Linked DNA regions of Lonchura striata. The protein of the gene in region 2 interacts with the protein of the main gene of each other region in a pairwise test. Links are inferred from orthologs where the notes say so. Each region holds a gene or a part of one and is shown on either strand. Other genes may lie near its edges.

Evidence for each region.
Region 1: the proteins of IKBKG (region 2) and TANK interact in binary tests that used the Homo sapiens proteins (3 or more experiments, as listed by UniProt). The link is inferred for Lonchura striata from reciprocal best matches to the Homo sapiens genes IKBKG and TANK.
Region 3: the proteins of IKBKG (region 2) and EEF1A1 interact in a two-hybrid assay, tested with the Homo sapiens proteins (2 studies listed by BioGRID and IntAct, with this or other methods). The link is inferred for Lonchura striata from reciprocal best matches to the Homo sapiens genes IKBKG and EEF1A1.
Region 4: the proteins of IKBKG (region 2) and EPAS1 interact in a two-hybrid assay, tested with the Homo sapiens proteins (2 studies listed by BioGRID, with this or other methods). The link is inferred for Lonchura striata from reciprocal best matches to the Homo sapiens genes IKBKG and EPAS1.

What each region holds. Positions count from the first base shown.
Region 1 is NC_134610.1:16,853,519-16,860,807, reverse strand, and holds the start of TANK (TRAF family member-associated NF-kappa-B activator), read right to left. Parts: upstream 3,009-7,289; 5' UTR 2,905-3,008; intron 1-2,904.
Region 2 is NC_134638.1:2,064,525-2,072,247, reverse strand, and holds the start of IKBKG (NF-kappa-B essential modulator), read right to left. Parts: upstream 3,006-7,723; coding exon 2,891-3,005; intron 612-2,890; coding exon 554-611; intron 410-553; coding exon 130-409; intron 1-129. Other genes in the region: G6PD (glucose-6-phosphate 1-dehydrogenase), read left to right, coding at 3,335-3,389, 5,320-5,468, 7,423-7,460. UniProt on the Homo sapiens protein: Regulatory subunit of the IKK core complex which phosphorylates inhibitors of NF-kappa-B thus leading to the dissociation of the inhibitor/NF-kappa-B complex and ultimately the degradation of the inhibitor.
Region 3 is NC_134605.1:83,911,957-83,919,332, reverse strand, and holds the start of EEF1A1 (elongation factor 1-alpha 1), read right to left. Parts: upstream 3,002-7,376; 5' UTR 2,883-3,001; intron 2,178-2,882; 5' UTR 2,131-2,177; coding exon 1,987-2,130; intron 1,154-1,986; coding exon 974-1,153; intron 838-973; coding exon 541-837; intron 285-540; coding exon 134-284; intron 1-133. UniProt on the Homo sapiens protein: Translation elongation factor that catalyzes the GTP-dependent binding of aminoacyl-tRNA (aa-tRNA) to the A-site of ribosomes during the elongation phase of protein synthesis.
Region 4 is NC_134605.1:16,709,112-16,717,031, reverse strand, and holds the start of EPAS1 (endothelial PAS domain-containing protein 1), read right to left. Parts: upstream 3,014-7,920; 5' UTR 2,976-3,013; coding exon 2,929-2,975; intron 1-2,928.

The DNA.
Region 1 (7,289 bases), on a different chromosome or scaffold from region 2:
GTTAGTACCACAGGCTACTTCATCCATCTCCTTCCTCCCCCAAACAGTATCCCTTCAATAAACAGAATATTCATGCTCATATCTAGGGCATATCTTTAATGAAATGGGTAGGCTTTCTTTCCTTTTCAGATGAAGGACTGTTCTGTGTAATTCAATTAATAAAATAAGGTATCTGCCTTGAGGGACAGGTGCTAAACTGCAGAGGGCATTGTTATAGCTGAAAGTGACTGGAAGTGTGTTCTCACAATCTTTAAAAGCTCGTGAAGTTTGCATCAGTATTGATTTTGTACTCTTCTGAAATCCTCCACTGTTAACAACTTACCTAGTAAATGGCATGTCCTATACATATGAGATAACTTCAAAAAATGAGTGCAATGGGATCTAAGAAACTATGTTCAGCTTCTAATGGAGAGAAGAGGGATCAGCTCCATGTGACTCACAGTTCACAGAAAATGAAAGTTTTTATTTCATTCATGCAAACTCAAACCTCTATTTGAGCAACAATATTTAAAACTTATACCTAATTTCCAGCCTTTTAGTCATTCATTGTGACTGGGAACATTAACAAAGAGCGCTGCTGTCATTTGTACTGATGGTATCAAAAGTAATTGATCCAACAGGCAGAACTATAGCACAGTGCCTGATTTTCTACTTGGTATGGAAAAATAACTTACTGGTAGCTCCCTAAACTTCAGACTCCATGCAAAGAAAGGTCACTGAAAGTCACTACTAGTGACACTTTAAGATGGCATTTTAACTAGAAGAATTGGTCCTATATTCACCCCATACCCTAGATATTCTTCTTTGACCTTACCCTTCCCTTTCTTCCAGCATGAGAAACCTTTCTGTAAACTGTATCAGTAAACCAATGTAGTTTAAAACTAAATACTGAATATATTTTTTCCACATTAATTTTAATGCAGGTCAGATCCACAGACCACTTCAAATGGCACGATAACACAAGGAAGCCTGTACAGGGACAGAACTCAGCAATAGGCACACAGAACTCCTGTGCTCAACAGCAGCACTGGCTTTGAATTGTAACACAAAGTCAGAGTTGTGTAACAGTGTCACAAGTCTGCACTGAGCAGGATAGGCCAGCTTTTCCCATCTCTGGCCATGCATTTTTGCTGCTTACTGATACCGCTAGCAGTACTTCTATGCTACACAGTTGAGTATACCAAAGTAGCTCCCTACGTCCTCAAAAAAGCAACAACAAACCCCCTAAAAAAACCAATCTCAAAATTAAAACTGGAGCTAGCTCACTGCAAGGCTGCTGGAGCACTACTACCAGCACAAGGAGGCAGTGGGAACATGCGACTAGCCGTGGGCAGGACTGCCGCAGTCTAGATTTAGATTGGATTAAACTACTCTGTAGTCACACCCCGGGTTGCCTGCTGCTGGAATAAATAACTGCTTCTTATGTTATCTGTCTCGTATCCAGAACTCCTTGCAGTTAGAAAAACTGGCTCATTTTCCTGCTTCTCCTCCATAGGCATCAATATTTATCAGGGAATTTGCCAACTGTTCCTTGTCATTTACCCTTCTCCCTGCATCCAATGAGGAGGAAAAAACTCCCTCCCAACAGCCCTAAAAAAACCCCCCAAAAACCAACAAACCAAAAAACCCCAACCCAAATACCCCTGCTATTTAAATTAGTTATGATTAGTTATGCTGTACCTAAATTGCAGCTGGAACATAATTCAGCTCAAAGCTGACAATCCTGATCTTTAACAGGGACAGAATTAAAGGAAGAGATTAGTTATAGAGGTTGTTCTGAAAGTCTGAACACCTGTGAGTGCTATGCTGCTGGAGCTATGGCAATGACAAGTGGAATTTCATATTTGAGTAAAGACTTGTATACTGGATAATCACTGGGTACAGCTAATGTTGTAAAACAAACTTCTAAGTAAACAACAAATGAAACCTGCAGTTTATATTAAAATACTTGCTTAAAATCAGAAACATTTTGCTGATATAGGTAGTGGGAAGAAAAGGAGTAGTAATATGCATTTTCTTAGTCAAATGCCAAAAAAGCTCCAACACAAAGATTAGCAACATGTTTCTGCTGCAATCCCAGCTCACAGCTCACTAGTTTTCATACTAGTTTTCATACCGCCTCAAAAACCACCTTAAATTATGAAAGGTTTTAGCTAATCATGTGTATATGCACATTAATTCATAATACACTTTCCTATCTCCCATAGTTTCATGAGAGATGAGAACACAGGTGCCACCCAACCACAAGTACTCTACATATTTCTGCTCTCAAAACAGAATTTTCGATTGCTATATTTTCTAAGTTACACTGCCATCATCTCGGGAACTGGAAGTCTGTTGAGTTAATCATTTGTGAGATACTGAGAGCTCATTGAACTTTTTTGTGTTTTGTTTTTTCCCTTGTTTTTTTCTGAGTAGACACAATTCCTGCTTTGCCCGACGGCGGATGCGTCGTTAACACAGCAGGAGCCCCTCGTGGCACGGCAGCAGCGTTAGAGCTGGGCAGCCGCCGTGCGCTCAGGGCTCGGGACGGCGATTCCCGGGGCGCTGGGCTCCGCTCCCCCCGCCGCGCCGCCGCTGCCCGCGGGGGCAGCCGCCTCTTCCTGCTCCTGCGCTCGCCCGCCCGGGCCATCGCCTCCCGGCAGCGAGCCCGCTGATCCCGTCCCCCGATTCCCCGCTCCCGGAGCGCCTCCGCTCGCGAACGACGCGGCCCCGGCCCCGCTCCCGAGCCGGGCCGAGCGGGAAGCGGCAGCCCCGGGAGCGGGGGGCGGAAGCGCGGCCCGGCAGCCCCGGTCGGGATGCCCGGCTCGGGATGCCCTGGTGCGCCGTGCGGCCCCGGGCCGAGCGCCGCCGCTCCCGCGGGAGCGCCAGGAGCGCGTGGTTTCCAAAACGACTCAGACTTACGAGCGCCTCACGGAGCCCGCGGCCGCTCCCGGCAAGGGCGCTCGCTCCTGCCCGGGCGCCTTAACCCAGGAACCAGAAGCGACTTCCTGCCGTGCCTCTCCCCGCCCTGTGACGGGGCGCTGCCCGCGCCGGCCCCGGGTCGGGGCAGGGCAGGGCGGCGGCCGCCGGAGGTGCCGGGTTCGCGCGGGGACGGCGCCGTCCTTGTCCGCCCCGCGCGAGGATGGGAGCCGGTCCGCTCGCCTCTGCTGTCGGGCAGTGCCTCTTCTGCCTGGCTGCGGAAGACCGCTCAAGCAGCCTCTGTGCTGCTCCCGAAGTCCACAGCACTTTCCTATTTCTGTCTTTCCATGACTTAAGAGTGATTTGTAAATAACAGTAGTTACATTTGTATATAAAAGTATATTTACTTTTCATGCTCAGGGTAGTTCTCTCTGTTGTAGGTTACTACTGAGGCATTTCCCTGCCTGCGTTTATTTAATGTAGGCAATGAATACTATAGGTAAGATGATAGTGGAAACATACGGTTTTAATTTTGCTACTGCTACAAGCCCTTCTCTCTTTAGGTCACGTGTATAAATACAGCTTTTTTTTCCCTGAAGGTGTGTAGGAGGATGGGAGAACACGAGGCATTTGTACATACTTGCCCAGTATACCATCACAGAGCCAGCGGCAGAGAAGCACTGCAGATTTTCATTTAATCTCATCTGTCTCTGAACCCCAGTGAACATATGCATGCAGCCGAGCTGTGGTGTTTCTTCTAGGGCAGAGCTTTTTGGTTTGTTCACTCATGGATCAGAACTTGCATTCCACCTATTACAGCCTACCTACTACCCTGGGCAGCTGCCCTTGGAATCCTGAGGATTGAGCTCAAACATCGCCACAGAAATAGCTAGCTGTTGCTTTCTGTGCTCTTTTGAAGATTATTTATATTATAATTTATCTTTCCTGCAGAGACTTCAGCTTCTCTTTTGGTCTGTTTTGGCCTGTACTAAGGCTAAAGAGACTTACAGGCAGAGAGGTGAATGAGCCTATCAATATACTTCCTGTTTGGCCATTTTTAAGAACTTAAGGTGAGGTCCTAATGAATTATTAAGATTCAGAGAGAGTTTGCTCTTTTAACGTATTTCCAAGAAAGGGGAATTCAATTTCCTTTTTCAGAGACAGTGCTTGAGACGTCCAAGTTAAGGTTTCATTCAACGGGGTCTTAAAAAATAAATTAGGGTGTGGGCAAAAAAGGCTATTGTTTCTCTTTTAATTCTACATGTTACATTTTTAGTCAGTTTTGGCAAGTAGTTGTGCACTTAAAATTATAATGGATATCTCAGCTGAAACATAACCTGAATTTCTTAAATTCAGATGCAATATAATTTAACTTATGCTATATTTAAGAAGGGATAATATGCAGAAAAGCACAAGTGGGTGTTGTCTGGTGGTTAAGCATGCCTCAACTAAAATTATGGCTACCTGAATTCAAATAGCCAGAACATGTATACCACCTCTGAAATACTACCATTGCATGTTAGTTGTTTTAGGGGAAAAAATTGCTTATTTAATTCTTGGAACGTACTTAATGTAAATTTACTGTGAAGATCTCAATCTCAGCAACTCAATACTGACAACTGTCTACACACATGACTTTTCAAAGAACATGCATTAATGTCTTAGTGCTTTATCAGTAATATTCTTTCACAGTAATATTCTTTCTCATGGGAGAAGCTGGTTTTTCCTCTCTTTTCATTATTTAGTGCCTTCTTTCTTTAGATTTCTTCCCCCAATACAATAAGGTATATTTTACAACCTTTAAAGTAATCCATCTTGATAATCCTAGAGACCTCCAACCTTTGAATAAACTAAATTGAAGAAAAGAAAAATACCCATGAAAATAGTACAAAACCTCTATTTCATAGCTAAATTGATCTCTGATCTTTTAGAGTATTTTCTGCTTTGCTCAATTACTAAATTACTTTATGTCCTTTTCTTCTTAATCTTGCTTTCTTTTTCTTTGTTTTTTTACTTTCTCCTCTTTTGTCTCTGTGTTCCCTTCCCTACAGCTTTTCCAGGAACAGCTTTCTGTATTTCTACCCCACATCAATCTTTCACACTTTTATGTCATTGTCAAGGCATGATTGTTTTCCTGTATGTAGTCCACATAAGACAGCTGAAAGAAGAAGCACTTATCAGTGTATATAAAAATTATTTAGGATTTTAGGAATCTAGTTATCTTAAAAGCAGTTGCAAATCACTTATCTGGGCTTTGGGAGTGGTGGTGCAGGGCTTTCTGTTTTTAATATTTTATTTTACTTTGTGTTCAGAGTCAGAGAAAGTCTTACTTTGACTACTTATGTTTAGAAATTTAGAGTGGGGTGTTTTTTTGTTCTTGGTAGGGGATTTTGTTTGGATTTTTTTTGTTTGTTTTTTTTTTTTTTTCTTGGTGATTGGGAACTAGCAAGTTGATACTTTTTTTATTGTGAAAATTCAAGTTTGTGCTCAGTGGGTCAATCAGTGTATTTAAATACTTACATCATCTATATACAGTTTGCTTTTTTACATTACTTCTGAAATGGTATTTTAACAGTCTGTGCTGATGAGTTAACACTGTGCTCTTGGTTACACTGCGTGGGGCCCGGGGAGGAACTCACTGCTTTCGGGAGAGGCTGCTGCTGGAGCAGCTGGCAAAGGGCTGGAGTTCATCAAAGGTTTCATCTGATTCCTTTTTATGATTCTCTAAGCTTATAAATGCAAATTGGCTTCTACTAGAAAGAGGTTAAAATGTTTGTTGCAAGTTTTTAATGTAGCCATTCGTTCAGACGCTAGGTGGCTCACGTCAGATGTTAAACCTTTTCCAGAACTTTGAGACTGTGGTCCCAAAGGAGTGTGCGGGGTGCTGGAAGTCTCTGTTGCTCTGGGGTGTTTCACCGTTCTTTTAGTCTCTTGCTGCTTTAACAAAATAAAAAGCATGTTTTGATCTTGAAATGCCTTTCCTGGTCAGAAAATGAGAACTGTGGATTTAGACCAAATGTTGTCGTTTCATAGCGTGAAGGAAGTTGAGGCTGATTATTTTTTTCCCAACATCAAGAATAATAGTTGATGAGCCTATGTAAACCTTAGTATGTAATTTACCTATAGGTTGTAACAGACAAAATTAGTTTGTGGGTACCAGAAACTAAAGGATATTTAATCAAAATGCAGACAGATAGATTTGGAGCACTATAAACAACATAAAAGTAATGTCTTATACTTTTTCGATGTGTCTGAATGCTGAAGTTGATAAATCTAATTTTACTCATTAGAAAAGTGTAGGAACAAAAAGTTTGGATTTGCTTGTCTCATCTCTTTGGTAACAGTATAGGCAATCTTTATGTTGCCTGGAGGAGTATCAACAGGATTATGAAATGTGGTTTTGTGCTTATGACTAATATTAGCTGGGAACTTCCACTGAGAAATACCCAACTGAAGAACTTCCTTAAATGCAACAGCGTGCAGACAGTCATTCTTTGAAACAGAGACTTTAGCAGAGGCAGCCTGCAAACTGGTTTTGGACCCAGTGCAACATTTTTTATTTCTGTAAGTGATGTCAATGGTTTCTGGAAGATCCCTACCCTGGAGAAAGGCTAACCTGCATAAAAAAGGAGCAGTGCATGAACAGGCAACCCTGTATGCATGGGAATGGTTAACATACAACTGTTGGAACAAATAGAATACATACTTTTTAATATATTGTGAGGAAAAAACCTGTGATGATAATGACACCAAAAGAAACTACAACAGCTTTAGAAAACAAATGTTATTCCTCTGTATAGAATATAACCTGTGTTACATATAGAGGGAGTAAAAGACAAGGAGTGTAATGCTTCTTTGAGAAGAATAGCCAATCCACTGATTCTTAGTTAAGCTTCAAATGAACTTTATTAGACAGGCTCTTAAGCTCTGTTTTATTCTAATTGTGTCTCTCCCCACTTCCCCTCAAACTACTGAAATTGAGTTCTGTAGAACAATGTGGGGAAAACACCCTTGAAAAATTCATGTTCTAGCTTGAGTGCCTTTTTGCCATAGAGGCAAGTATTCGGGAAATTTAACATATAGTCATTAATTCCCTAGATCTGTCAATGTGAAAAAGTGAGATATTATGGTATCAACTACATTACATAGGTCTTTTTCCTTTGTTCCATGCTAAAATTTAATTAATTGATAGCTCATTTGTATAGAACTATATTATATACAATATCTAATATAAGAAAACAGGATTGATAAACAGAACCTTTGTACTATTTATTAAATGTTTTTTGATCCCAAGCCTCTATTTAGGTTTTCAGTGTGGAGTAAGAGTGGAAGAAATCAATGTATTTGAATTGAAAATGTATTTGAATTGAAATATTTAATTTCTGGAA
Region 2 (7,723 bases):
CCAGGGGGACACTGGGGACATCAGGGGGACATTGGGGACATCAGGGGCACCCCACAGGAGCTGGGGGGCCAGCGAGGGGACACGGGGAGGGGACACAGGAAGGGGACACGAGGAGGGGGACACACACACCTCAGTGCTGGCGTCAGGGCTGCTCCTGCAGATGTCCCCAGGATCCCTGAGAGTGTCCCTGAGGGTGTCCCTGATGTCCCCAGCAGTGTCCTTGGTGTCCGTGAGGATGTCCCTGATGTCCCCGGGGGTGTCCCTGATGTCCCCGGGGGTGTCCTTGGTGTCCCCAGGGGTGTCCTTGGTGTCCCTGATGCCTCCAGCGGTGTCCCCGGCGGTGTCCCCCACGTCCCCGGCGGTGTCCCCGACGTCCCCGGGGGTGTCCCCGACGTCCCCGGGGGTGTCCCTGCCGTCCCCGGGGGTGTCGGGGGTGTCCTCAGGGCTGTCCCCGGGGGTGTCCCCGCGCTGTCCCCGCAGGTGCAGCACCAGCTCGCGGGCCTGTCCCCAACGTCCCCAGAGCAGCTCCCGCTCGCCCCGGCGCTGCTGCTGCAGCTTCCGCAGCTCCTCCAGGCGCTGCCGCAGCGACTGCGTGCAGTGACACAGGGCACCTGGGGACAGGGACAGTGACACAGGGACAGCAGTAACACAGGGCACCTGGGGACAGGGACAGTGACACAGGGACAGTGACACAGGGACAGTGACACAGGGACAGCAGTGACACAGGGCACCTGGGGACAGGGACAGTGACACAGAGACAGCAGTGACACAGGGACAGTGACACAGGGACAGTGACACAGGGACAGTAACACAAGGCACCTGGGGACAGGGACACAGGGACAGTGACACAGGGCACCTGGGGACAGGGACACAGGGACAGTGACACAGGGCACGTGGGGACAGGGACAGGGACAGTGACACAGGGACAGTGACACAGGGACAGTGACACAGGGACAGCAGTGACACAGGGCACCTGGGGACAGGGACAGGGACAGCAGTGACACACAGGGACACAGTGACACACAGGGACAGCAGAGACACAGGGCTCCTGGGGACAGGGACAGTGACACAGGGCACCTGGGGACAGTGACAGGGACAGCAGTGACACAGGGACAGTGACACAGGGCACCTGGGGACAGGGACAGGGACACAGGGCACCTGGGGACAGTGACAGGGACAGCAGTGACACAGGGACACAGTGACACAGGGCACCTGGGGACAGGGACAGTGACACAGGGACAGTGACACAGGGACAGCAGTGACACAGGGCACCTGGGGACAGGGACATTGACACAGGGCACCTGGGGACAGGGACAGTGACACAGGGACAGTGACACAGGGCACCTGGGGACAGGGACAGTGACACAGGGCTCCTGGGGACAGGGACAGTGACACAGGGACAGTGACACAGGGACAGCAGTGACACAGGGCACCTGGGGACAGGGACAGCGACAGTGACACAGGGACACAGGGCTCCTGGGGACAGGGACAGTGACACAGGGACAGTGACACAGGGCACCTGGGGACAGGGACAGTGACACAGGGACAGTGACACAGGGCACCTGGGGACAGGGACAGTGACACAGGGCTCCTGGGGACAGGGACAGCGACAGTGACACAGGGACACAGGGCTCCTGGGGACAGGGACAGTGACACAGGGACACAGGGCTCCTGGGGACAGGGACAGTGACACAGGGACAGTGACACAGGGCACCTGGGGACAGGGACAGTGACACAGGGACAGTGACACAGGGCACCTGGGGACAGGGACAGTGACACAGGGCTCCTGGGGACAGGGACAGTGACACAGGGACAGTGACACAGGTACAGTAACACAGGGACAGTAACACAGGGCACCTGGGGACAGTGACAGGGACAGCAGTGACACACAGGGACAGCAGAGACACACAGGGACAGCAGAGACACAGGGCTCCTGGGGACAGCAGTGGGGACAGCAGTGACACTGGGGACATTGGGGGCATGAGGGACATTGGGGACTGGGGACACTGGGGGCACTAGGGACACTGGGGACACTGGGGGGACTGGGGACACTGGGATGCTGGGGGCATATTTGGGACATTGGGGGGACTGGGGACATTGGGGACATTGGGATGTTGGGGGCATATTTGGGACATTGGGGACTGGGGACACTGGGGGGACTGGGGACATTGGGATGCTGGGGGGACATTGAAGGAAACTGGGGATTTTGGGGGGACTGGGGACATTTGGGACATTGAGATGTTGGGGGGACACTGGGGACTGGGGACATTGGAGGGATTGGGGACATTGGGGTCATCAAGGAGAACTGGGGACATCGGGAACTGGGGACACTGGGGGGGCTGGGGACACTGGGGGGGACATTGGAGGTGCTGAGGGGACATTGGGATGTTGGGGGGACATTGGGATGTTGGGGGGACATTGGGGACACCGGGGACTGGGGATTGGGGACACTGGGGAAATGGGGGGGACATTGGAGGTGCTGAGGGCATCGGGGACACTGGGGGGGACTGGGGACATTGGGGACATTGGGGGGACATTTGGGACATTGGGGACTGGGGACACTGGAGGGGACATTTAAGGTGCTGAGGGTATCGGGGACATTGGGGACGGGGGGAACATTGGAGGTGCTGAGGGGACATTGGGATGTTGGGGGGACATTGGGGGGACACTGGAGGTGCTGAGGGGACATCGGGGAACATTGGGGACATTGCGGACTGGGGACATTGGGACATTGGGGGGACATTGGGGGGACCCTGGGGACGGGGGGGACCCTGGAGGTGCTGAGGGGACTCGGGGGACACTGGGGACACCCCAGTGGGGACACGGGGACACCTCTGGGGACCCCCGCCGTGCCCCCCCATGGTCCCTCCCGGCCCGGCCCGGCTCTCACCCCTCAGCTCGCGGTTCTCCGCCCTCAGCCGCTGCAGCGCCTCCGCCAGCGCCGGCTCCGCCTCGGGCCCCGGCTGCACCATCTCTGCGGGCCGCCGCCAGCGCCCGCCGCTCATCGGCGGCTCCCGGGCGCGCTTCGGGGCCGAGTTCGGGGATTTTTTTTTTTTGGGCCGAATTCGGGGATTTTTGGGATCCCGGCGGCTCCGGCGGCGGCGCCGCCGCCACTTCCTGCTTCCGCCGAGAGCGCGTGACGTCACCGCGCCCCGCCGCGCTTCCGCCTCGGTCGATGTCGTGGCGGCGCCATAGCAACGCCGAGGGCGGAGGGCGCCGATTGGTTACGCCTCCGCGCGTAGCCCCGCCCTCCCTCGGCGATGATTGGTTGAGGCTGGAGAAAGCTCGGCGGTGATTGGTGGGTAAGGGGACAGGGCGTGGCCTCTGTGAAGGGATGGGGACCCGCGCGAGCGTGAGGGAGGCGGCGCGAGCGCGGCCGGAGCGGGAAGGTGCGGGGGGAAATAATGGGGAAATAATGGGGAAATAATGGGGAAATGTGGGGAAATTCGGGAAGACGTGAGGGGATCTGGGCTCTGGGATAATCCGGGGGGTCCATGGAGGCCTGGAGGGGAGCGTCGGGGGGAACCTGAGGGGGAACGTGAGGGGCTTTAGGGCGGAAATGGGGGAGTTTGGGGTCTGTGAGGGATCTGAGGGAAATTCGGGGTCTGAGGGGGATTTGGGGGGGGTTTGGGGGGAAGTGAGGGCGGAAATTGGGAGTCTGGGGGTGTCCAGGGGTCCGTGGGGGGATTGAGAGGAAGCTAATGGGGGGAGAAGGCGGAAATTGGGGAAATTTGGGGATCTGGGGGGGATGGGGAGGGGGTTAGGAGGGGGATGGGGGGCTGAGGGCGGAAATGGGGGGGATTTGGGGGATCTGGGGGGTCCAGGGGGGAGATTTGGGGTTCGAGGGGTCAGTGGGGGTTCGGGGGATTTGGGGGTCCTGGGGGGGAAATTTGGGGGAACTGGGGCGGATTTGGGGGGGACAATGGGGGGAGGGCGTGTCCTGCCCCACCCATCCCCAAAACCCCACCCCGGGTGCCCAAACCCGCCCCAAAACCTCCCAAACCCACCCCAAAACCCCCAAATCCCATCCCCAGGTGCCCAAACCCGCCCCAAACCACCCCAGCCCTGCCCCCCAGGTGCCCAAACCCACCCCAAAACCCCCAAATCCCATCCCCACATCCCCAAACCTGCCCCAAAACCTCCCAAACCCACCCCAAAACCCCCAAATCCACCCCAAAACCCCCAAATCCCATCTCCCGGATGCCCAAATCCACCCCTAAAGCTCCAAATCCCATCCCCAGGTGCCCAAACCCTCCCCAAAACCCCCAAGTCCCATCTCCACATCCCCAAACCCGCCCCTAAACCTCCCAGATCTCATCCCGGGGTGCCCAAACCTGCCCCAAAACCTCCCAAACCCGTCCCTAATGCTCCAAATCCCATCCCCAGGTGCCCAAACCCACCCCTAAACCTCCCAAACCCTCCCCAAACCCCCCAAATCCCATCCCCACATCCCCAAACCCACCCCTAAACCTCCCAAACCCGCCCCAAACCCCCCAAACCCCATCCCCAGGTACCCAAACCCGCCCCAAACCCCCCAAACCCCATCCCCAGGTACCCAAACCCACCCAAAACCCCCAAATCCCATCCCCCGGGTGCCTAAATCCACCCCAAACCCCATCCCCAGGTACCCAAACCCCCCAAACCCCGTCCCCAGGTGCCTAAATCCACCCCAAACCCCATCCCCAGGTACCCAAACCCACCCCAAACCCCCCAAACCCCATCCCCAGGTGCCCCATCCCACCCCAACCCCCCCAAACCCCATCCCCAGGTGCCCCATCCCACCCCAAACCCCCCAAACCCCATTCCCAGGTACCCAAACCCACCCAAAACCCCCAAACCCCATCCCAAGGTACCCAAACCCCCCAAACCCACCCCTAAACCTCCCAAACCCACCCAAACCCCCCAAACCCCGTCCCCAGGTACCCAAACCCACCCCCAAACTCCCCAAACCCCATCCCCAGGTACCCAAACCCCCCAAACCCACCCCTAAACCTCCCAAACCCACCCAAACCCCTCAAACCCCCCAAACCCCCCAAACCCCATCCCCAGGTGCCCCATCCCACCCCAAACCCCCCAAACCCCATCCCCAGGTGCCCCATCCCACCCCCCCAAGTGCCAGCTGTGCCCCCCAAGTGCCCACCCGTCCCTCCGGCTGCCCTTTCCTGCCCCGCAACCGCTCAAATCTTGTTCTGGGCTGGCCGAACCTGTTCCTCTGCTCCCCAAATCCCTGCCCGGGGTGGCCGAACCTGCCCCCCGAGTGCCCGGTCCGGCCCCCCGAGTGCCCGGTCCGGCCCCCCGAGTGCCCGGTCCGGCCCCCAGGAGCGATGCCGGGCTCGGCTGAGGCGGCGCCGGCCGCCGGGGGGGAGCTGAGCCGCTCGCAGGTGTGCGGGATGCTCCGGCAGGAGCTGAGCCGGGACGGAGCCTTCCTCCAGGGCCACCCGCACGTCCTCGTCATCCTCGGCGCCTCCGTGAGTGGCCACGGGGCAGAGCAGGGCTTTGGGGGGGTTAGGGGCAGGAATTCGGGGTTTGGGGGGGTTAGGGGCAGGAATTCGGGGTTTGGGGGGCTTAGGGGCAGGAATTTGGGGGTTTGGGGGGGTTAGGGGCAGGAATTCGGGGTTTGGGGGGGTTAGGGGCAGGAATTCGGGGGTTTGGGGGGGTTAGAGGCAGGAATTCGGGGTCTGGGGGGGTTAGGGGCAGGAATTCGGGGTTTGGAGGCAGGAATTTGGGGGTTTGGGGGGGATAGGGGCAGGAATTCGGGGTTTGGGGGGGTGTTAGGGGAAGGAATTCGGGGTTTGGGGGGCTTAGGGGCAGGAATTTGGGGGTCTGAGGGGGTTATGGGCAGGAATTCGGGGTTTGGGGGGGATAGGGGCAGGAATTTGGGGTCTGGGGGGGATAGGGGCAGGAATTTGGGGGTCTGAGGGGGTTAGGGGCAGGAATTTGGGGGTTTGGGGGCAGGAATTTGGGGCTTTGGGGGGGTTAGGGGCAGGAATTCAGGGTTTGGGGGGGTTAGGGGCAGGAATTTGGGGGTCTGAGGGGGTTAGGGGCAGGAATTCGGGGGTTTGGGGTGGTTAGGGGCAGGAATTCGGGGGTTTGAGGGGGATAGGGGCAGGAATTTGGGGGTTTGGGGGGGTTAGGGGCAGGAATTTGGGGGTTTGGGGGGGTTAGGGGCAGGAATTTGGGGGTCTGAGGGGGTTAGGGGCAGGAATTCGGGGGTTTGGGGGGGTTATGGGCAGGAATTTGGGGGTCTGAGGGGGTTATGGACAGGAATTTGGGGGTTTGGGGGCAGGAATTCGGGGCTTTGGGGGGGTTAGGGGCAGGAATTCGGGGTTTGGGGGGGTTAGGGGCAGGAATTCGAGGGTTGGGGACAATTGAAGGGGCTATGGGGCAGAAATTTGGGGGTTTGGGGGGGAAATGAGGGGGTATGGGGAAGAGATTCAGGATTTGGGGGGGTTAGGGGCAGAAATTTGGTGTTCAGGGGGAGGAATTGAGGAGCTAAGGGGCAGAATTCGGGGTCTGGGGGGGAATTGGGGGGGTTGGGGACAGAAATTTGGGGGTTGGGGGGGTTAAAGGGAATTGGGGGGATAAAGGGAATTGGGGGAGGAATTGAGGGGGTTGGGGGGAAATTGGGGGGCCGGAGGAGCAAAAAAGTGGGAAGCAAATCTGGGGGGAAGTGGAAGGATATCGAGAGGTGGAAGAAAAATTTGGGGGCAATAAAGGGATTTAGGAGATTTGGGGAGAAATAAAGGAGATTGGGGGGTTGAGGAGGAAGTTAAAAGGGTTTGGGGGGATTTTGGGGGGCCTTGGGGCAAACTGAAGGGGGTTCAGAGGAATTGGGGGAATTTGGGGGGATTTGGGGTTATTTGGGAGGTATTTGGGGGGATTTGGAGGGATTTGGGGTTATTTGGGGGGATTTGGGGTTATTTGGGGGGGATTTGGGGTTATTTGGGGGGATTTGGGGTTATTTGGGGGGGATTTGGGGGGGATTTGGGAGGGATTTGGGGTTATTTGGGGGGATTTGGGGTTATTTGGGGGGATTTGGGGTTATTTGGGGGGATTTGGGGTTCTTTGGGGGGATTTGGGGTTATTTGGGGGATGGGGGAGGGGCGGCCACCCGCTGCCTCCGGGGGAGGGCGTGGAGGGGTGGGGGAGGGGAGGGGAAGAAGTTGGGGTGCCCCACCCCCCCACCCCCTCCTGGTCAGCCCTCGGGGCCGGGGCGGGGCCGCCCCTCCCCCACCCGCACCCCAACTTCCTCCTCCGCCCCTCCCCCACCCCGTTACCCAACACCTCCAATTAAACAAGGGGGGGGAGGGGCGGCGGCGCTGACTCAGCACATTCCGGGGTGGGGGAGGGGCCGGGGCCCCGCCCTGCGCTGGCCTCGCCCCTCCCCCACCCCTGAACGACCCCTCCCCCTCCCCCCCACAGGGTGACCTGGCCAGGAAGAAGATTTACCCCACGATCTGGTGAGGGGACACCTGGGGACACCTGGGGACAGCAGGGACATCGAGGGGACAGCAGGGGACATCAGGGACACCTGGGGACAGGGGCACCGAGGGGACACCTGGGGACAGCAAGGACACAAGGGGACACCTGGGGACACTTGGGGACATCGAGAGGACATCTGGGGACAGCAGGGACGTCTGGGGACAGCAGGGACACCTGGGGACACCTGGGGACAGCAGGGACACAAGAGGACACCTGGGGACACTTGGGGACACCTGGGGAC
Region 3 (7,376 bases), on a different chromosome or scaffold from region 2:
TTATTTATTATTCAGCTTAGTAAATATATGCCCTTATGGGGAAAAAACCCCACTCGAGACAAGAATTCTAATTTTTGACTTGGAAAAGAGCTGCTGCTGCTGGCACGTGAGCAGCATTCCAGAGAACACATACCACCAATTTTGTAGACATCCTGAAGAGGCAGACGCAGAGGTTTGTCAGTTGGACGAGTTGGTGGCAGGATGCAGTCCAGGGCTTCAAGGAGGGTGGTTCCACTGGCACTGCCATCCTTACGGGTGATCTTCCATCCCTTGAACCAGGGCATCTGTAATGCAAACAAACCCAGGTTAATCCGACTGCCAAATTTAATGGTGCCAAGCCTGAAAAAGCCCAAGCAGCATCCCTTAGCATCATTTCAATTTACTGCTGCAGAGTAAGAACTTTTGTAACTGCTAAGATTTATCTTGAACTTTAGCACTTCCCAAACATAACTATTACAAAATGTGCGTTTTATCATTGCATAATTGGACTTAACAGTCTTCCTAGTTTCATGCCTTAACAGAAATAAATGTCAAACCTACGTTAGAGCTAGGCTCCAGCATGTTGTCACCATTCCAACCAGAAATTGGCACAAAAGCCACAGTGTCTGGGTTGTAGCCAATCTTCTTGATGTAGGTGCTGACTTCTTTGACAATCTCTTCATATCTCTTCTGGCTGTAGGGTGGCTCAGTGGAATCCATCTTGTTGACACCAACAATCAGCTGTTTTACACCCAGGGTGTAGGCCAGAAGGGCATGCTCACGGGTCTGCCCATTCTTGGAAATACCAGCCTCAAACTCACCAACACCAGCAGCAACAATCAGGACAGCACAATCAGCCTTTGAAAAAAAAAAAAAAAGAAAAAACAACCTCACTATAATGCTTGCGTGTATGCCAAAGTAATACAGGAACCGCCCCCTAAGCAACCAAGGAACAACGTTCCAGAACCCCCCAAATCGTACTTTCTTTACATACCTGAGAAGTTCCAGTAATCATGTTTTTAATGAAGTCTCTGTGTCCAGGAGCATCAATGATGGTGACGTAGTATTTGCTTGTTTCAAATTTCCACAGAGAAATATCAATAGTAATACCACGCTCACGTTCAGCCTTCAGCTTGTCCAAGACCCAGGCATATTTGAAGGAACCTTTGCCCATCTACAGTCAGAAAAAAACCCATTTTTATTACCATTAAAAAGAAGGGGTTTTGTATCTGCAACTAGTTCAGAAAGATCACACTGACTGAAGAGCAAAATCTATTAATAGTAACTGGCTTAACACTGAAAAACGCTGCTGCTCATAAAAACAGCAACAAGATACGCTTAGCACTACTGGTGAGAGATGCCAACTGTTGAATCTTATTGAACTTGCTGACAGTTCAGACTCCTTGGCAGCTTGTTAATTTCACTAAAGCATCTTTATGATAGAGCTCTTGAGCCTGAGTCCTACTATCAGGTATCTTCTACAATTTTAAGTCCTCCTACTACTTCAATCCTTGCAATAATCAACACCTTAATTTCCACTCTGATAAACATTTGTCAAATTTTATTCTATGTTCTTATGACCTGTGCTGTTATTACACAGAAAAAGAACAGTATCAGTAAAACTCCCAGATTTTTAAATTAAGACTTTTATCAACTATCCTTCTATGTAGTTTGTATCTGGCCATTTAACCTGATTCGAGATGTTACTATTCAGATGTAGCTTTAGACTACCTTCTCTTGACTTGCTTTACACTTCACAACCTGAGTTTCTGCAATTAACACAAGGGCAGATGGAACACTTACAACACTTGTTCTACCTCGGGGACAACTGCAACGCAGCTGCCGCCCTGTGGCCACGCAACACTGACCCACTTGTTCAGCTCTTGGGGCAGAGGCAACCGAACCGCCTCCCCGTGGCCACTGAAGGCTTTGCAGGTTCACTTTTCAATTAAGGGGCTAGTCATTCCTGCAGCCCAGAATTTTGCTGGCTGCTATGCGCCCACCCACCTCAGCCGCTTCCTTCTCGAACTTCTCGATGGTCCTCTTGTCGATGCCCCCACATTTGTAGATGAGGTGGCCGGTGGTGGTGGACTTGCCAGAATCGACGTGGCCGATGACGACGATGTTGATGTGGGTCTTCTCCTTTCCCATTTTGGATGTTAGCTGAGTTCTTTCTTTCGGCAAAAGAGAATCGACACCTGCAGGTTCCCGAGAAGAAGCTGGTTACGCCTCGGGCCGGGCCTCGGGGCAGCGATGGCGGAGCCGCACGCGGGCGGCCGGGCCGGGATGGCGGCCCCGCCCCGCCGGGGGAGGGGAGGAGCGAGGCGGGCGGGCCGCGGCCCCTCGGAGCGCCCCTCGCGTCGCCCCCTCCCCGGGCTCGAGTTACCCCGGCGGCGGCGGGGGCGCGGGGCGGCGGCGAGCGGGCCCGGCGGGCAGCCGGAGGGCGGGGCCGCCCCGCTCCTTTGTGTGACTCACCCCGCCCGGGCCGCCGCGTCCTCCATTTTGTGGCGCTGGCGGCGGGCGGCGAGGCGAGCGGCCATTTTTGCACTCGTGCCCCGGCCCCCTCCCGCCGGCGGCCCCGCCGCCCCGCCCGGCACGGCCCCGCGCCGCCGCCCGCGGGGCGCAAGGGGAGGCTGCCGGGCGCCTCCTGCCCCACGCCCGCCCGGGCACGCCGCTCCGCCGCCCTCAGCGCGGACAACGGGGGTGTGCACATGGTAATCGAGCAGAACGATGCGCCGCCATCCCTCCGCCCCGCGCTCCCTTGCCCGCCCGTCCGCCTCGGTTCCCGCCGGCACCCCCGGCCCCTCCCTCCCCTCGGCCCCCTGCACGCCCCGGCCCAGCGCTCGCCGGGCCTCCGGGGCGAGCGGACCCCGGCCCGGCCCGGCCCGGCGGACGCGCCTCACCTGCTCGGCGACGGCGGCAAACCCGGAGCGAAAAAGACCGACGGCGTGAGCTCCGCCCCTTATATAGCCTGCCGGGGGGCGGGGTCTCGGGACACGTCACCGCTCCCGGCGGCCCCGCGGCCCCGCCCGGGCACGGAGCGGCCCGCCCCCGCCGGGCCCGAGCGGGACCCCGGCCCGGCCCGAGCGGGACCCGGGCCCGAGCGGGACCCGCCCGGCCCGAGCGGGACCCCGGCCCCGAGCGGGACCCGGGCCCGGCGCTGTGCCGAGGGCTCCGCCGGGAAGGGAGCCGTGTCCCTGTGGCGCTGGGATGGAGCGCGGGCGGGATGCCGCCTGCCCGGAAGGAAGCGGGGCAGCACCGAGCAGCCCCGGCCCCTGCAGGGCCCAGCGCTCGGGCCCGGGCTACGGCCGCGTCAGGCCGGGCCCGAGGGACGAAAGTCCCTGGGGAGCAGCCCCGGCGAGTTAATTGTATTTCGCATTGGGGGCACAAAGGAACGCAATCAGCGAGATTAGAAATTCAGTGAGTTACCCTGACCGGCAAGTAACAAATGCCGGCTGAACATCGCGAAACTCCCCCTACCCCCGTACGTTGCAAGTCTCGCAGAATCAAACGTGGAGAAGGAGGGGAAGAGCAGGAATTTCTGGAAGCTTATCACACCGGAATAAGAAGCCATCGTTTGGCTTAAAAAAAAATGAAAAATATTTTTCTGGTTTTGTTTTACCGTTAGAGGACGAAAGTTGACTCGTCTTAGGAAACTTCGGCACAAAAAATACAAATCAAGGCAGACGCACTATCAGTAAAGATGCGTCTGAAGTGCAAATGGATCAGTCACGGAAGTATTCAGGACAGGGGTTCTCTGTGCAAGAAACCCTGACTGCAGAAACTGCCCCCATACTGTATTTTCACATGGGAAAACCGGCAGCCCTGGCAAATTATTTTTAGAATCGTGGCAATGAGGAGTCACAAAACAGCTCACAACATCAGAAATAAAGGCCCTCGTGATTCCAGTAGATTTTTTTTTTCTGGTTTAGTCGCCTGTAACTGATATAAGAAAAATCATTAAATATTCAACATCTCCTATACCCATCCAAGAGAAATTAAAATGAATAGCTGAACTGTCTCTGTTATTTTTAAATTATCTGCAAAGCTATGTAGTCCATCTTCTTATTCAGCTACATTATATGCCTGTCAGAAATAGTTACTTATCTATAGACAACTATCATCCATTTCTTGTTATGCTCTTCAGGGTGCAGTTGTATAGCATGGAAACAGCTTCTTGTTCAAAAACAAACAAAAAAGAAAACATCAGCAAACTAATAAAAAAACTACCTCATGCATCTACAAATGTACCCTTCCACTTAACTTCAAGTTTCTCTGAGATAAACCCAGCATCAAATTCATTAGAGAGCACTAAACTTGGATATCATGCTTTGATATGGAAGTGTTTCCATAAGATAAGGTATTTTTCCCACATGAAAAATTAAAAAGATGCATTTTGTAAAAAAAAACAAAACAACAAAATGTCATTAGAGAGCATGCTGAGTTTAGAGTACACCTTTTACAAAAACAAGCATTTCAGATAATAAAAGTGTTCAATATCTGAAAAAGGGTTCAGATATTAAACACTTTTTTTTTAAGAAAGGAAAAAAACAAATTCTCTCTCACCCCTTCTTATGTTTTTCAGCAGAGATTAGTAGTAGTGGGGGAGGGAATATAGAAATGGTGCAGCTTTCCTCAAAATTAACCTTCAGGGCCAGTTACTAGTGAAGACACCGCATATGAAGACATAGGAAAAGAGCAGGAAAAGGAAGGTGATCTGCTTTCTGGAAATGGAAGTGCATTCTTGTGAGTGGCTTGGTTTGAAGACCAAAATATAATATTTAGCAAGAAAGCTAGGAAACAGTTTTTTAGGGTCTTCTATAAAGCAAAGACTGTAAACACAGTTAAAAAGCTTTATTCTTCAATATGGTTTGAAGTTACCTTCTCAAATGTGTATTTCAGTGGGGGAGGGGGGGTGTTTTTAATGGACTGATCTGTCAAAGAAACCATTTTCATAAAAAGGTAGTTTTAACACTTCCCAAATGCAGTCAATTATTTGTGCCTGAACAGGAACATGAGGAAGGAAATATGTTACTAAATTCTTATATGGTCCATACTAAACTGCATATTTCTAATTTTTTTAAAGCTACTGTTCTTAGAAGATAATTTCATAAAGGCTCTTAGAATCAGGTGTTTCTTAAGGAAGTAATTTCAGGTATTTCTTCTCTAAGGCAGTATCTATATAGCTGAAAAGCTATGAAAGCTGAATTTGTGGTACAAATTTTTAAACATAGTCCTAGTTTAAATCTACAGCAGTTATTTTCCCCCTCCACTTCTTTAAATGAGTTTTCAAAATAATTCTATTATTTCCTCTTTAGTTTGACCAATACATGTTTTTATTCTCTCAACAATTAGTGTATCTTTTCTTGCCCACTCCATTAGAAGAACATTCCTATTATCAATCTCAAAAATATTTATACAGCTGGGGACCTTCTGATATATGAGTAGCCTCAGACAATACAGTGGAAATGCATTCTGAAGAATCCTCTCAGCTAACACAAATAGCCCTACACTGGACTAAATCCTGTTTGCAACAGCCTATAAAAATTTTAGATTGTATTAATTTGGTAAAACTAATCACTTTAATATGTAACATTTAGGAAGGAACAAAGATAAGACATTTCAAGAAGTCAAGGATATTTAGCCATTTAAATAGGGCTTATTCAATACTGACATCAGAACTAGGAGGACATTCTCCTTTGATCACTGGTGAGCATATGCTAAACTGAAATATCCTATGTTTACATATGTCTCCAGTGTAAGAACACAGAGAATGCTCTAAAGCATGTGTATTGAAGGAAACCACCATTTTAAAAGGGTTTTGAATCTCAGGTCACATGATATTAAAATAAAAGTCTAAGCCAAAAAAATCTAGGCCAAAAGTTTCAGCTTTAAAAAGTATATGTCATCTGGATTTTGAGTTCATAGTAGCTACTGAAGCATTACTTCCATTTAGCATGTGGCTCCAGCACATACAGAATGGGCTGTAAGCTTAGAACATATTCACAGCCAGTGAAATCATGCTAGGAGATAAAAGATGTGCTCACTGAGCATCTCTAAAGAATTTCAATTCTACCATATGCACATGGGTATTTTTTTTGGTCAGATTCCTGTGCAAAGATGCAGGTAAGTTAGGCTTATACAACCATTTTAATTGCAATGACCAAAGTCATTCAGGAGTATGAGCAAACAGACTTTTTATGTGCAAGACTTGAAGCAGATCTGATAAATTGAGTATATCAAGCTCACTATATATGAAAGAGGCACTAAGATTTCTTGAGGGCACTTTCAGGAAGTGGTGGAAAAGCAGTCCAAAGTTACCAATAGTAGTAATTGGTGATCAGCAAAACTGGATTCTAATACACAGCACCATTCTGTTATACAGTTAGCCTCATACTTACTGTGAAAGGTTTTCTAATCCCTATATTATAATTATCCTGGTACGTACATTTGTCCAAAGTTCAATATAAACTATAGCGTGAGCATACAGCCTTACTTCCATCTATAAGTGTTCTTTAATGCATTGATTCCTAACAGCAATAAAAAGCACCTACACCTGTTACAAAACCCTTTTTCATACATGATCTTAATACTTACAACCAGTTTTTACAATCATCTGCTTATGAAATAAGAGAACAATAGAATAATGGTGTTATTCATATATGAAAAGAGTAGACAGAAAACCTGCCTAAAGAAAAGGTTTAACTGAACAGGGTGAGGTGATCTATACTAATAGAAAAACACTATTTTTGAAAATTACTTAGCTCTGTACAAGTAGCTGGCATTTTTATATAAACAAAATTGCTTGTTAAAAGAAAGAGACAACAGTAAATACAGTTTAAGTTATTGTCTTAGTAGACAGTATAAATTAAACTCTTCCATCCTTGGAAGTTTAAGACTTGGACTAATTAAAGTCATCTTGTCTGATCTCATAGCTGACCTTGCTTATAGATTCACAAAAGAAGGTCTTACAGTAGGAGGTATAACACAGTGGACTTCAAAACTCTTGCGAGTATCACTGGGATGAACACGCAGTGACAATTGCAGAGTCTTCTGAATAGCTTAACAAGAGCCTCTTTAAAAGTCATTGTTGCTCATGAAAGAAGTTTCCTCTAGGAAGCACTGCCATTATAGTTACAGCATTTATAACAGGTGATGGAGTACTGGCTTGGAGGATAGCCTGCTTTAAAAAAAAAAAAAAATCCTTTGGACAGTCTTTTCAAACCACATTATCCACAGCACGAGAAAGCTCATTTATATTGAAGGTTTAGTACTGGCTGAACTGTGATACCGAAGGTTTGGGATCAGGCAGAGTGGTCAGATCATGCTGGGATGTGACCAGAACTAGCAGCTGTATTTAAACCCCATGTGCTGTTCTGTGGAGTTCTGCAGAGTTC
Region 4 (7,920 bases), on a different chromosome or scaffold from region 2:
GCTCAAAGCTCCATCAGCTAAAGTACATAAAGTGAGGTTTAAAAGAGTGTAAGAACAAACCCAAGTTGGCAAGAGAATGGACAAGATCATCGGTCACCAACAGCACAGGCAATAGGGAGCATACCTGGAAGTAGTGACACACAGAAAATGTCCTGGGGAGAACAAAACAGACTGTATGTTTCTTGAAATCTCCAGTTTAACACCTTGGCACATCCAAATGCTCACATTTCCTGACATCCAAATTATATCCATTACAAGCAATTAACTACCTGAGCTCTGGAGAGCTGTGCCATCAGGACAGTTTCCTCATCCTGAGGAGGAACAGCCAAGAGTGACTTCAGCTTGGCAAAACTACTCTCCTGAAGGAAAAGGTCAGCAAAAATTGAGGCACAAAGCATCTCATTAGAGGGGCTCAACATCAAATAAAGCCCAAAGTAAAAGGGTAAATGAAAGCAGTCTATTACCTAGACAATAACTGGGGGCAATCCCATTTCTTTACTATCTGGGCCAGAAAAAGTTAAATGGATTTTTGTAATGTTATATGGTTATGGTCACAAAATATATTGTGCAATTACATGGGGACCACTAGCACACCCTGAGCTGCAAAATTGGTTTATTTTTCATAAAACTGGAAAACAAACACAGAATTCCCAAGTACCAACACAACTGAAAAGGTGAAGCCAAATAATGCATCCTTCTCAGTGGTACTTGGGGCTTGTCCTGAGCCTGGTTTCAAACTTTTCTCAAATAGACACTGCTGTCTATCCAGAGCTGTTCATTTAACACAGCAGCCAGTCCTAACAAAATAACTGTCTTGAAAATCACTAAAAAACACGACAAGATATTGTATCAGGCTACTCTAATTACATTGGGACTTACCTACTACTTGTCATTGTACTGCACAGCTGTACAGATCAGACACTTTTCCCTTTGCTTTTACTATTTGCTAAAATGTGTTATGCCCTTTTATTTCTCCTTCTCCCAGTTCCTAATTACTGGCATTCTAAGAGAGGATCTAATACTGTCTAGATAATTTTTTTAAATCAAAAGAGCAATCATATTAATCTCAACTCTGGATCTTGGACTAACTTTAAAGGTGGGAAATCAGCCTACTGAAAGTGCCATAACATTTGTTCTAAATAAAGCAACTGCTCTTTTCTGCTGGCAAACAGAGCTTCAAATGAGGACCTGAGGATGTTCTTCAACTTAAACGGACCATTAAATGAATCATTATTAAATGAAGATTATCCTACTTAGAACATCTGTTTGACAGTAAGAGAACTGCTCCTCAACATAGTTTCAGAGCTGCCTGGAAATCTGGTAACATCATCCCACCTTTTCTCCATGAAAGTGATTTATAAATGCTATTCGCAATTTGGGCTGCTGTGTCTTATCTATTCTGTTCCGGAAAATATAGCAAACAATATACTAACTGTCAAACTCAAGGCAATAAAACTACTCTATAATAGTACAGGAAAATGAAGAAAGCAAAACTATCTTGTTTTAGCGAGCAACATAGAGTACATCCTCAGTGGGGATATCCACAGCACACTGACAGGGAGGCACAAGCCAGCTATCTGAAGTCCCTCATATGACACTCTCCCAATTCTTCCACAAACATTATTTTACGCAACAATCCCATGAACCAGATAACAATTAGCCTACTTCTGAGAGAAACAGAAAAATTGTCACTGAATGTCACAATATTCAAAAGCAGTGACAGAGTCAGGATCAGGGTTCAGACTTCAGTCCTCTGAAGCCTGTGTAGTATCTGAAGAGTATTTCCCCAAACCACTTCAGTCTGCTGTCCTGCAAGATTAGACACTGCTCAATCCCTTACTCTGCTTGAAAGAGGTTAAAACTGAAGAGATTAAAGAGTGCCCCATTAAAAAGAGGTAATACAATGAATGCAGTGCATTTCCAAGATATACACTATTTCATCCTCTTGCTTCATAAACTAACACATTTTTAACTACATTGTACTGTACAATAATTTTTACTTTTACAACATAAGACACAAAATGTACGTATATTTTTACTCTTCACTCTATCTAAAACAAAATACACTTGAAGCAACTGTTTAACTGTTTAACCTTAGTTTCCAGTAAACTGAGGAAAACAAAACTAGAGGGAAAAGGAATGATTTACACCACTACACCTCCCCTATTATATTGTCATAGGGTGACTCAATAAAAAAGGAGCTATTACACAAACAAAAACCCAGGGTTTAAAGTTTACTGCATGGTCAACTGGATAGTACGCACGACAAATTAGCAACATAAAATTCTTAGTCTATAATCCACATCTCTATAGAGAATCTATAGCCAGAACCTGTGCCGATAATCAACGGATCCTTGTAACTGCCTGCTGTATGAAACAGACTGCATCCATATCCTTTCACAGGATTTCACAGACCTTTATTCACTTGCTTAGTTTTCCCCATGCCCGTGCCCTCTCTCATCCATAGGAATTGTTTATAACTTTGGAGCAATAAGTAGATAATTCTTCTCTTAATCTCCACCTGTAACTTCTGTGTTATGGACCGCTGACTTTTATTTTGACGTTTGTTCTCAAGAACCAACTCTTCGATGAACTACAAAACCACCAGTGCGTTACTTTGATTCCCGCTGGAAGGGTCGCTCCGGCAGTGTGGGAATGTCTAGCCTGACATCCCTCTCGAAGGGCAGCAGCAAACGAGGCGCTGGGCGCTCCTGGAGCTCTCGACCCTCCGGGAAAACCCGCTGGCAGCCGAGGAGCTCCGCGAACCGCGGGAGATGCACCGCGGCCAGCGTCTCAGACTGGAGCGAGGAGGTGGCGAAATATTTACACAGCCTGTCAGTTTCACCCACGCGACTTTGATTATAAACCACGTTTTGCCAAGAGTGCTGCTACCTTCAAAACCCCCGTCCTCGAGTGAAAAACAGTTACCTACTACCTCTGTCCTCGCTGGTACCAAGCCGTGCCATGGCGTACATGACGTTGGCCGCACACCGGCTGGCTGGCCCTGCCTGCCAGGTGCACCTGCCCGCCGCCCGGCTCGGCCGGGGGCCGCCTTCCCCGGGCCGCGGCCGGGCGCGCTGCCGGCCGCGGTGCCGCCCGGCGGGGGCAGCTCCCCGGGCAGCGCTCCCAGCCCAGACGGAGCGCGGGTTACCGCAAGGGGTGCCGCGCTGCGCCCCTGGCCCTCTCCCCGCCCGGGCTGGGCGAACTAACTCAGTCCCGCCGCACTCGGGGGGAGGCGAGGCCGTCCCGTCCCGCCGGCGGTGCCCCCTCGGGCAGCGCCCCCTCGGCGCCTGCCCGCGGGGAGTCCCGCGGCCGCAGGAGGACGCAGCGGCCCGAGCAGCGCGGCGCCTCGCCCGCGGCCCCTCACCTTTTCTTCTCCTTGTCAGCTGTCATCGCGGCGGCTGCTGCCGGCTCCTGCGCCGCCTCTCGGGCCGGGGCGCGCTCAGCACCTGCCCGCGGGACGCGGGGCTCCGCGGGCGAGGAGCGGGGTCCGGTTCGACCGGGTCGCCCCCGAGGCGGGCGTACAGTCTCAGGACACTGCCGAGGATTGTACGGCCCGCCCGGGGGAGGCGGCGGTAGCGGCGGCTGCTGCGGCGGGACAGGAGCGACGCGGCGGCGGGGCTGTACAGCTCGGCGCCGCCCGCAGAAAGTTCTCACTTTAAACCTTGGGCAGCCGCCGGCCGCGGGGGCAGGGCCGGCCCCTCCGCCCGGGACCCGGCCCGCACGGCCCGGCCCCGCCGCGCCGCCGCGCCGGCCAATGGGGGCCCGCGGGGCGCCCCGGGCTCCCCGCCCCCGGCACCGGCCCGGCCGGGGGTCAGCGGGGCCGCTCCGCCCCGCCGGACCGCTCCGGCTGCGGCGGGGCTCCCGCGCACGGGCACCCACCCCTCCGCCGCTTATTTTTTAGTTATTTAAGTTTTTCGTTATTAAACTTAATTTTTTTTTTTTTTTTTTTTTTTTCCCCGCCGTGGTGTCTCCCCGCCGGTGCGGTCCGAGGGCCGCCGCGACACCTGCCCGGCGGCCGCGGAGCAGCTGCGGTGCTGCCCCGGCACCGAGCGCTGCTCCGGCAAGCGGGGAGCTGCCCCGCACTCGCCCCCTGGAGCGCCCCCCGTTCAGCCCGAGGCATGGGTGTCGAAAAAATAAATTGAATATTACGAAAATAAAAGCCACAAGGACGGTGCGGGCTTGGAGCGACGCCCCGGAGCCATCGCGGGCGTGCGGGGCCGCCCTCGGCCCGGCTCGCACACGGAGGAGCGGGAGTGTGGCAGCAGCTGGGGGCAGAGGGATGTGCAAGGAAGCAAGGGCTGTTCTTTTACCTCCCTGATGGGACTTCCTTCCTCTCCCTGTTTTTTCGATTTTATTTTCTGTGTCATAATGGATATTTCAATTCAGGCACTTTTAAAACTCGTGGTTGATGACACATGGTGGAGCGAGTCTGTGGCAAGAAGCGCCGAAGCTCATCTCGTGCTAGCACCTGCTATAGCTTGCTGGAGTTAAGATAAATGTAAATAATAAAAAAAACCCTCTTGCTTTGAGCTCTGTTTATTTTACACCAAAGCCACTAACCTTCCTAGACAAGGGATTATGAAAAATTTTCCTGATATTGTCTTTCAGCATAGCAGAAACTTCAGCTTATCCTCATGTTCTCTACATTTTTATATCTTGAACCAAATGCACACCTTTGTATTAGGCTCCACAAGGTTTTCTTCTAGAAAATGGAAGTATTGTAGGCAACATGAGACTAACAGGACTTATTTCTTGCTAATACAAATTTGAGCCATTTCCCTATGTCATTTCAGAGGCTCGTTTGTATACAATGGGTCAGAGGGTGTTTTCCTTTTCTTTTATATTGTATGAAAGTTTAAAGAAATGCATTTGGGTTTGAATTTGCATATTCTGCTCTCAAGTCTGAAAAGAGCTACACATGCTTACACAGCAACAGCCTAATTATGTGGTAACAGTTGGGTTTTTTTTCTTGTATAACAAGAGAACCTAAACAAAAGAAAGCCACAAATATTTAAAACCTAAGTAAACTTAGTCAAACAGAATTTGTGTATGCAGGACTAAATTTAACCTTCTGGGAATATGAGAATGCAACAGGATCAAAGACCCAAGTCACTCATTTCCTAGATTAAATAGACCTCTTCATCCTTCATTGATCTCTGCTGATGTCAATGCTCCTTGCTGTATCTTAAAACACTTCACTTGGATAAACAAGTTGCCTTCAAAAATCAGACAAGAAAAGCATTCAAACTGACTAAATCTAAACCACTCAGTAAATTTTAAGTATTTCACATCTAGCTCATTGGCCAGACTCCTGTTGGCTCAGCCTACATGGATACAGTGTAGTTGATTAACAGTGTAAATCTCTCATTCTCTGGGCCAGCAGGGCCTGAAGGTTCTTTGGGAGAATTTGGGAGAATTCACATCTGAGCACCACTTAAGAACCACCACCTGTCCTGTCCTCCCCTGCACAGACAGGTTGGTGGGCTTCAGCACAGGTCAGTGCCCAGAAAAACAGGAATCTTTCTGCTGCATCAGGAAGGTGAAGCAAGCAAGATTGAGTGATTCTTACAGCTCCCTCACAGCTTCAGTTCTTGAAGTTGTCTATACTATTATTTCTGGCAAATGAGCTCCCCATCTTGAACATGAAGGAAAAAAAAAAAAGGCCTGTCTTCTAGAGCTTTAGTTATTAATTCATTCTCTTTCCCAGGACTGTTCAGGGAGGGGAAGATCAAATGTATCTTTAATACCACTGTCAATTTACTAGACGCATTCTGTGGTGATAAGGGATCCCACAGCACATTTGGGAAGGCTTGCTGGGGTTTCTCCTTGCTGGATAACAGTGGAGAGAATCACATAATTGTATTTCCAAATGCATCTTGTTAGTATTTTAATTTCCTTTATGATGAGTCAGTATTTATTAACAGCAGTACCCAGCATAACATGGACTTTCTCTAACCTTATACTACTCAGAAAATTCGATAGGAACTACGCCATTAGTGAGCACATTTATTTTACAAATCTGCTCTATTTAACCACAGAAGATACAGCTGCCAGAAAAGCCAAACAAAGCCTTAAACTGACAGCAAACATACTTTGTTCTGTTGATTGCTATCAGCACTGTAAAGGCTCTTTCCATTTCATATTCCAATGTTACTCCTTACATTTTACCTTGCATTTGCTACGTTTTACACTTTGCTTAGTAGATATAACTCAGATAAAATCTCATGGAAGAGGATAAAGTCTTCGGGGAACTTCATGAACTGAACTTAACAGGGGTTAACTCCTCTTTTTCCTCCCCTCATCAAAGATTTCAGCAGAATCAGCATACCAGATGGGACTTCTTTACTTTTACTGGCTAGAGAAAATACAAGCTGCTGTGTCTTAGAGAAGATGACACACGTTCTTCCTATGTGAATTATTCTAGAGATGCTATAGGAACACAAAGTTTTTAATTTCTAAAAGCAGCCTTCAGGTGATGAATTTGAGAAGTCATTGATATCTGTCTTGTTATCAGTTGGGTTCTTGAAGGGTCCTTCAAGTCTAGAGGGGACCAGTTTATGTCAGCTGTGTCTGGACTAAACTCTGGGGAAAAGAGAGACTTACAAAAAAACCCGGTGGTGTGAGAGCAACTTTCACAGCCCACACTGAAGTTTAAACCGCATTGACAAGCTAGGAAATCTGCACAGGGTAGTGACAGGGCTCCTGGTGCTCATGGGGAACACCCCATCACCCAAACAAGATGCTGGCCGACTCCTGATTAATGCCATTTATTCTGAAACACACCAGTGATTTAGGACCAGTTATGCTGCATTGTTTTTTTCCAAGGATGTGCATATGTATGTAATCAGCCATCCAAATCAGCACTTACTCCGGTTTGAATGCGCATAGCCATCATCAGCCAAGTCAAAGCACTTCTAGTACTCCGGTTTATGTATGCATGCTACTGGCACTGCACTGACTGAAGCGTGTTGGTAAAACAGAAGTTTGACGCTGCTCAGCAATTAATGCTCCAGAGTAGTCAGAAGAAAACATGGATACTCTATCTCTTGCAGGGGAAGCATAATTTTTAAAATTAAAAGCAGCTCTTAAATTATTGAGAGGATAAAGTGTTTTAGCTTCATTGATAATCTCTGTCTGATTTATTTCTTTTTCTGGCTCCTCAATATTGCAAATTCAAAAAATTGATTATTGTAATAACAAATAATGACATTATGGGAAAGGAATGGGAGAAAAGAGAGCCCTGTTATTCAACACAGCTGATGCTTTGGAGGAAGGAGACAGCATTCTTCGCTTACTCATACCAGAGTAAGTTAAAGCCACAGAATATTTATTAAGCACAATAGCAAGTGATATAGTAAAATTTCAAACTTCAGGTTGATTTGTTAGCAGGGAAAAAGGGATCCCTATGAAATACAGATAGAATACAGAAGATCTACAAGAGAAAGCAGGGACTACTTGAGTGGAAATATAAAAAAAATGCCTGAACCATGGGGGGAAATAGTAGTAATAATAATAATAATAATAATAATAATAATAATAATAATAATAATAATAATAAAACAGGACACATAGATTGCCCCTAAACATAAACAGATATTAAGAATATCTACAGCAGCACTGCCCATTGCCCTATGCCAAAACCAATACACAATCTCTATGATATCCTGAACTGGCCAGTCTAAAATGTAGTTTTGAGGGAATGAGACATTAAGATGTTTTTGAGAGCTTCCAAATACTGAGTGCACACCTTCAAGCAAGGCTTACAGATAAGCCCCAGCATTTTGAGGCATTGATTACTTACAGACACATTCCAGGCGTTTTAGCCTTCACACTCTCATATGATGGCCAAAAAGTTGGGAATGTACCTGTAAATATCAAAAGGCTTAAAATTACTCTGCTTATCTCTCTGCCTTTTTC